Tribolium castaneum: one gene and its partner. The protein of the gene in region 1 purifies or fractionates together with the protein of each later gene. This does not show direct contact. Links are inferred from orthologs where the notes say so. Each region holds a gene or a part of one and is shown in the gene's direction. Other genes may lie near its edges.

What was found.
Region 2: the proteins of Ctr9 (region 1) and EloA purify together in Homo sapiens (affinity purification with mass spectrometry; 4 studies listed by BioGRID and IntAct, with this or other methods). This does not show direct contact. The link is inferred for Tribolium castaneum from reciprocal best matches to the Homo sapiens genes CTR9 and ELOA.

The regions. Positions count from the first base shown.
Region 1 is NC_087397.1:22,580,082-22,584,659, forward strand, and holds the start of Ctr9 (RNA polymerase-associated protein CTR9 homolog), read left to right. Parts: upstream 1-1,599; 5' UTR 1,600-1,714; coding exon 1,715-1,756; intron 1,757-1,805; coding exon 1,806-1,904; intron 1,905-1,963; coding exon 1,964-2,203; intron 2,204-2,254; coding exon 2,255-2,477; intron 2,478-4,578. UniProt on the Homo sapiens protein: Component of the PAF1 complex (PAF1C) which has multiple functions during transcription by RNA polymerase II and is implicated in regulation of development and maintenance of embryonic stem cell pluripotency.
Region 2 is NC_087400.1:1,640,268-1,643,523, forward strand, and holds part of EloA (transcription elongation factor B polypeptide 3), read left to right. Parts: coding exon 1-709; intron 710-2,482; coding exon 2,483-3,092; intron 3,093-3,256. UniProt on the Homo sapiens protein: SIII, also known as elongin, is a general transcription elongation factor that increases the RNA polymerase II transcription elongation past template-encoded arresting sites.

The DNA.
Region 1 (4,578 bases):
TTTAAAGAAAATAATGATAAATTTGTAAAATAGTTATTGAAAGTATAAATTACATTAGCTGTTATTTTTTGAAGTGCATGAATAATTTATAACAGCTAATTTTGAGAAAAAAGCGACGTTGGCGTTTTTGTAATTTTGAAACAGCTAATCGTAATTGTTGTTTTTATTTTTTAAGCGCAAATCAAAAGAGCTAAATGTTTTTAACTAAGATGTTCTTGAGGCATCTTTTTACAAGGAAGCTAAATTTGTCATCGTATTTTCCAAGGCGTTCTTTATGTCAGAGTTACAATACTTAACTTTTTTTTTCTTGTGAAAGCCATATTGGCTTTTTGTATTTTTGAAAAGTGTTTTTATTTTTTATTACAACGGTGTATCACATGATATAATCAAATTTTACACGTTGATCAAAATGGAAAAAAAACACTTTTGCGAAGAGTGCCTTGAAAAAAACCCCAATTATTTCGTTTTTAAACAAACTAAATTTTCGAGGTTTGGAAGGTTATTACAGTTCGGCAAAGTCTACTTATTTAAAAACTAAATAACATGATAAGCTAAAAGTTTATTCTTTACAAAATAAGACAAAGTTATTAAAATTTTGCTCGCATATTTAAAAGAACTGTTAAAATTTAGTTTGTTATACACAATTTTTGGTGTTTTCTTTCAAAGCACTTTCAAACGCTTTTTTCTTATCTACATGTAAGATTCGATCATATTATCGTTGTAATTAGGAAAAAAATTTTTTAAATTCAAATATCAAATATGCAGCTCAGAAAAACTAAAATTATTATGGAAAAGATGAGATAGATTTAAGTTTAAAAAAAAATGCCTAAAGGATTACTTGAAACTTAAACTAGTTCATTTGGTTTTTGCATAAAAAAATAAAAATAAAAATTACAAATGTTTTTTTAATTAGCTTGTATAAAAAAATATTATAGTATTATCTTTTCTATAGCAGTGAAAACTTTAAGTTTAAGAGAGAAAAGCTGTTGCAAACTTTAGTTAGAATGTGGTTAAAGTGCTATTTTATCTACTCGAAAGATAAACAGATACAATCTGTCTATAAATGTATGATCGTTGTAGGTATGAGTATTAAAAAAGTTTACTGCTTCTTTCCAAAAAAAAAACGAATTGTGTTAGTATATAAAAAATTGATCTGCCGGGGTAAATAAAAATTAGTACAAATTCAAGTTCCAAAACCACCTGAGATCCTACTCTCTTTTATAAACAGTCCGTAGTTTAACATCTACTATAGAAAAAGAAAATGTTTTACATTCGCAGAATAAAGCTTTCGCTTAACAAACAGCTCGTTAAACATAAACTTCACTCGTAAATAAATATCTAGTTTAAATATGTTTTTCTTGTATTTTTTAAATTATTAAAAAATTATATAAAAATATGCAATAAAATAATTTATTTTTGTATTTGTTTAAAAAAAGTAAAGCTTTTGCTATTATTTTAATTCCTACTTTTTCTGGGGTTTTGAAATTGATTGATTTTAAATTTTATTTGTTTATAACACTCCCACGAGAGACCGCCACAAACTACAATTTTGCAGTTTTCTCCTACAGTTACGTGCAATGTTGGTTGCCTACCAGTTAGTTTATTTTAACAGTTTGTGGCTTGTGCATCATCCAATTTTCAATTTCCGATTTTTAGTGAAAAATGCCCTTTTCATGAAATATATGTGACGTGAAGTGTTAACAAACTCTTCAAAATGACTACAACAATCGAAATTCCTCTCCGTGACACGGATGAGGTTCGTTTTTCAATATTTTATTCCAAAAATAAAGTGTTGGTTTTTATAGGTTATAGAGCTTGACTCTGATCAGTTGCCTGATGGAGACGAAGTTTTGGGTATTTTACGACAAGAAAATACCCAGTTGTTTATATGGGTTAATCTTGCGGTATGTTTTTCAATGTTGTGTGCATAATATTAATATTAATGATTGTGTTTCTCCAACAGCTGGAGTATTACAAACAAGGTAAAATTGAAGATTTTATTAAAATACTTGAAGCTTCACGAACTGATGCCAATGTCGATTACCGAGACTATGAAAAGGATCAAATGCGAGCCCTTGATATGCTTGCCGCATATTATGTACAAGAAGCCAACAGGGAGAAAAATAAGGACAAAAAACGAGAGTTGTTTACTAAAGCAACTCTTCTGTACACCACAGCTGATAAAATTATTATGTACGACCAAGTAAGTCACAAATTGTAGCTAATTCACACTTGTGAGTACAAATAATTGTAGAACCATCTTTTGGGAAGGGCCTATTTTTGCCTCCTTGAAGGCGATAAGATGGAACAAGCGGATGCGCAGTTTAATTTCGTTTTGAATCAGTCACCTAATAATATACCGTCATTGTTGGGGAAAGCTTGCATTGCGTACAATAAAAAGGATTTCCGAGGGGCTTTGGCTTTTTACAAGAAAGCTTTGAGGACCAATCCAAACTGTCCTGCTGCAGTACGACTAGGTAAAATCTTGCACAATTATTAAAGTCCAGGTTTTGGGTTTCAAGAATTTTAAAAGAACTGATTTTAAGTCAAAAAACGTGGAATAGAATTTTACCCAGAATAGTACAGAAACGTATCTTTTCTATTTTACAAAACGTTTCAGAAATCAGTTACAATACACACTTATTTTTTTAAATGAAACATCTTAATATCTGTTTCAAAACTTTAAAAATAACTGTTACTTTTCGCAGTTGATTTTCTCTTTTAATTAGGGAGTTCTGTTGTCACTAAATTTTAACATAGAATCACAAGGAAACAGATTTAATTTGTAACCTATTTGACTCCAAAAAATGTAAGTGCGCTGTTGCGTTTAATATTCCACTCATGAAATAAAGCGTCCGATTTACAGCCAAACTCGTTAAATAAATAACTATTATTGCATTTTTGGAGGTAGCTTTTAATACTGTTGATTTAGACCTAAACTTTTATTGATTAATATTTTGAAAATGTATTATACACAAAACTAAGGTTAAAAAAGAAACAAAATTTCCACTAAAGAGAAAACTTAAGACCCAGATTCGTACTTATTAAAAAAAAAAAACTGAATTTACATTAATATATGTACAGAACGTTTTGGCATGAACATGTATCCTCAGCTATACAGGGTGTTAGGGAATAGCTTAGTAATATTTCCTATGCGAATTTGTCATGATAAGACGAGTTAAGAACCTTTATATTATTTTTTCAAAAAGTGCGTACATTTTTCAGAAATTTTTCTTAATCTACTTATTGAGGACCACTGTATGGTTTAGTAGTTAATTTTTACATTAAGCAAAATGGAGGTGATGGCGCGTGGCCGTTTTAAGAATTTTTCAAAATTATGGCTTTAACATGTTTATTTGTGTGGGGGTTTGAATCCTGGTCCTGACAAAAAATGTTTGTTTTTTTTTTGTAAAATTTAATAACAAAACACAAATTGAAATTGAAGAATAACGTAGTGGACCAAGAAGTTAATTTACCTCTGCTGTTTTGACAATAATATCAAAATTTATTTAAGTTTTATATATCTGGTTCAGCGGTTCTCAAAGTTTGGGACTTTAATTTCAGAACGTTTTTTTTTTGGGAAAACTATGCATTTTTGATTTAGATTTATTTTGATTAATCGATTTGTTTTGCCATTTTCTATCTACCTTTAAATTTTTGCTAAACCATTTCCTAACACGCTGGGGTTTACAATCACGACACATTAATGGTTAAATAACTTAAAAAAATAAACGGAACACCTTATATATTTGTTTTTTGCTTCCTATTTTTTTAAGACCGTAAAATTTTAAATGTCTAAAAAATTAAATAAAAACGATGTTTAACTAAATGTTAATTTTAGCAGTATGTATGTTATTCGCGCTGAGTATTAGCACGTGTTACCGTAGTAAACCATTCTGAGCTAGGGGCAAGTTTTCGAATTACGATTTTTTGGTGTAAAACTAATATTTATTTATTTAACGAGTTTGAGTGTAAATCGGACGCTTTAATTTACGAGTGAAAACGGGTGGTTTATCTTCTACGAGGTGAAATAAATCAACCGATTTACACGAAAATGAGTTGAATACAACATTTTATTCTTCGAATTAGACTCAACAAGACTTACAATTGCTTAAAATCTGTTAAAAATAATCTGACATTTCGTATTGAGAAATGCCAAACAGTTGTCAAAATTTTCTTACAGAGAAAAACCATAAATTTTGACAATGTCGAAGTGTCGAAGAGTAAATAAATACTATACATTCTTTTTTTATTTTAACTTGATTTTAACTATAATATTTCAAAAACTAATAATCACTCAGAATTTAGCGTTTACTATAAAATACTTTGTGTTTTTCCTAATGCCTGTGCATTTTTCTACAATTTATTATAATTAAAATGAATAAATTAATTACCAGTATTAAGTAGTTGTAAAAAATGGTTATTTCTTGCGTCATCTGAGAACAAGTATTGTTTAAATGTTATTTTGTGATAAAAATCTGTAAAAAATGTCGCCCGTCTTAAAAAATACTCAACTAAGAAAAATTAAAAATTTAAATAAACGTAATTTTACTAGCAAAAATTGCTATAACAATTGTT
Region 2 (3,256 bases), on another chromosome or scaffold:
GTGGAAGGAAATGGTGGTGGGGGAGCAGGAGGAGGAGGAGGAGGAGGACGATGATGAGGATGAGGACGACGAGGATGAAGACGGGTACCAAAGCGGGGAAGAACCGTCGAATGACAGCGACGATAAAGACGGCCATGAGGAAAAATCAACGCCTTCTAGTCAACACAAACGTGATAATGACAGGACTGACGATAGGGAAAGAGTGAAGAAGAGCAAGTCGGACGGGTCCGAAACGTCGCGGAGACATCGCCACAACGGGCACGAGAAAAAGGCACACAAACGCAAAAGCGAGGAGTCGAGTAGTGAGGAAGAAACGGCGCGAAAGCGCCCCAAGAAGGAGGAAGAGCGCCAGAAAAGCAGCAAACGTGACGAAGAACGAAGACACAAGGCGGCGAAGAAAGCCAAAGCTGCGGCCCCCGATTTTGAAGAGAAGAAAGACAGTGGTAGACATAAATCAAAGAAGGACGACAGGAAGAGCAAGGATAAGAAGATTAAGGATGAGAAGAGGGAGAAAAGTGATGAGAAGAAGACCAAAAGTTCGAAGAAGTTGAATGGGAATTTGGTTAATGGGATTGATTCGGGATCGGGGGCTAGTTTTGCGGAGGCTTTGGGCATGTGTGAGCCTTCGTCGAGTAAGAATAGTGCGAAGAAGAAAGTGGAGAAGGTGGAGAAAGTGGAGAAGAAGAAGGAAAAGTCAACGGACCAGACGGTAATTTTTATTAAGTTTTTGAAAAAAATGACAAAAACAACACACTTTTTAGAAACGTAAGGAATGTGTACCTATCTAGTTTATGACTAAAAGTTTCGTTATCAGTATCAGAATGAAACAGACGTAATTTTCGTAATCTGATACTTGTTTGAGAATATTTTACTATTTTAATTCGGTGACAAACACTTATAACTGAAACTGAACAGTTTTAAAATTCCTCTTTGTTTTTCCTGGATTAATTATTATTGACAATTTTTAGTAGAATATCTTGCAATATCAAGGTCTGACTACGAAAGACTATAAGTTAGGAGACGAAACGAGATACAAAATCGCTCCCAAAGATGTAGTACGGCGGTGTAAAAATGAGGGCGCCTCGAGCGTCATCCCGTCTCGGTGTCAAATCGTTTTAAATTAATTTAAATTCAACCAGTTTACTAATTACTGGGGAAAAATGCAGAAATGTTGAGCTTTGCATTCTCAACAGACTGGGAAAAAGTGAGGACTGAAATTTATTGAGAAACATGAGAAAAAAATTATTTAAGATTTAAAATTTGCGCTCCGGTCCGTATTTTTCAAAACGCTGCGAATACGGTTAAAGATACAAGAAAAATGTTCAGAAGAAAGTTGTAGAGAATTTAATTTCCTTTAAAAAAGTCAGCGAGACCATATTTTTATCTTCAACGGTTTAGGCCCTAAAAACGTTCAAAGATGCTCAAGCGACTGATTTGCGTCATTTTGCCGGTGGTCAAGTATTGGAAAGTGAATTTATAGCCAAACCGTTGAAGATAGAAATATGGTGTCGCGGACTTTTTTGTAGCAAATTTAATTCTCTACAACGTCGTTCCTTTCAATTTTTTGTAACTTTAACCGTATTCGCAGCGTTTTGATAAATAGGCGACGGTGCCCAAAAATTATCGCTTAGAATTATTGCGTTCTTTTTGCAAACGCAGCGAATACGGTTGAAGATACAAAAAAAGTGTAAGGAACAAAGTTGTAGAGAATTAAATTTCCTACAAAAAAGTCCGCGACACGATATGTCTATCTTCAACGGTTTGGGTATAAATTTATTTTCCAATACTTGACCACCGGCAAAATGATGGAAATCCATCGCTTGAGCGTCTTTGAATGACTTTGGGGCCTAAATGGTTGAAGATAGGGATATGGTCTCGCGGACTTTTTTAAAGGAAATTTAATTCTCTACAACTTTCCTCTGAACATTTTTCTTGTATCTGTAACCGTATTCGCAGCGTTTTGAAAAATATGGGGCAGAGTGCAAATTGGTAAAACTTTGAAATTTTTTTAAATATAGTTTAAGATATAATTTTTGCACTATTTTTATCTCCAATTATTGAAAATTTGGTGCTTTATCTGTCTGTATTTTTTTATTCGCTTTGGGCTAACCGTTATTTAATTAAACTATTTTTATAAATTTATTGCTTAAATACTTAATTTTTTTCTGTGCCTACATGAATTTTTTCAGAATTTTCCTACACTCTTTTATTATTTAAAATTAATTACGTATTTTTTATTTTTTATGTTCTGTTTATACCAAATATTTTGATATTGCAGATCCAGGAATCCATCCGAATTATTTTTGGGTTCTAAAAACTGGGAGGAAGTCTCAATTTATTATTATTATTTATTTATTTTTTGTTATGGGTCAAAAAGAACAGAAGAGTTGTTTTTCATTTTGATTTTGTACGAGTTTTTTTTGCAATATACACATAAAACTAAATGATCGTAGTGATGTTTAGATGAACCTCTTCTTCACAGGTCCCCAAACTCCTTAAAGAACCGACCCTGGACCCCATAGATCTCAACATTTCAAGCCTACTGCCTCCAATCACCCCCAACTACCGCCCCCTCGGCAACTTGCTCCCTTCGGACAGCCACCACAAAAAATTCATGTCCGAATCGGAGGCGCTCACAAGCATTATCACCTCGAAAAACCAAAGGACGAAAGTCTATTCTGGCAATAAAATGGGCTGCGGGAAAGTGGCCTCGCTGTTCGATCTGTGTATTCGAGTCCTTCAGGATAATATCGATGCTCTGGAGTACACTGGGGGAGTTCCTTACAACGTCCTTAAGCCGATTTTGGAAAAAGCCAACCCGAATCAACTTTATTTAATGGAACACCATAACCCGTATCTTATCGAAGACACAGACGAGTTGTGGCAGTTGCATTGTCAGAAGGACTTTAGAAATAAAAAGAGAGAGGAGTTGGAGACGTGGCGCGAAATGTACCTGAGATGTTTGGATGAGAGAGACGCCAAACTTAAAGCATTGACAGCGAATATAAAACAAGCGCAAGATAAGTCGCTTCCGGTCAGGATGACCAAGCTGGCATATGTGGATGCGGTGGCCAAACCCCCTAGAAATATAGGTTGGTGTGACTGCTGTTACCTTGGCTATTTTTAATCCTTGCCAGTAGTTTTTTAGTTATGAATTTTTTAAAATGTGGCCAATTTTTGCTTTTATTTGCAATTTTCTCGAAAACTATTAGTCGGAGAACTGTGATTTTTTTTGAAAAAATAGATGATTTAAAGA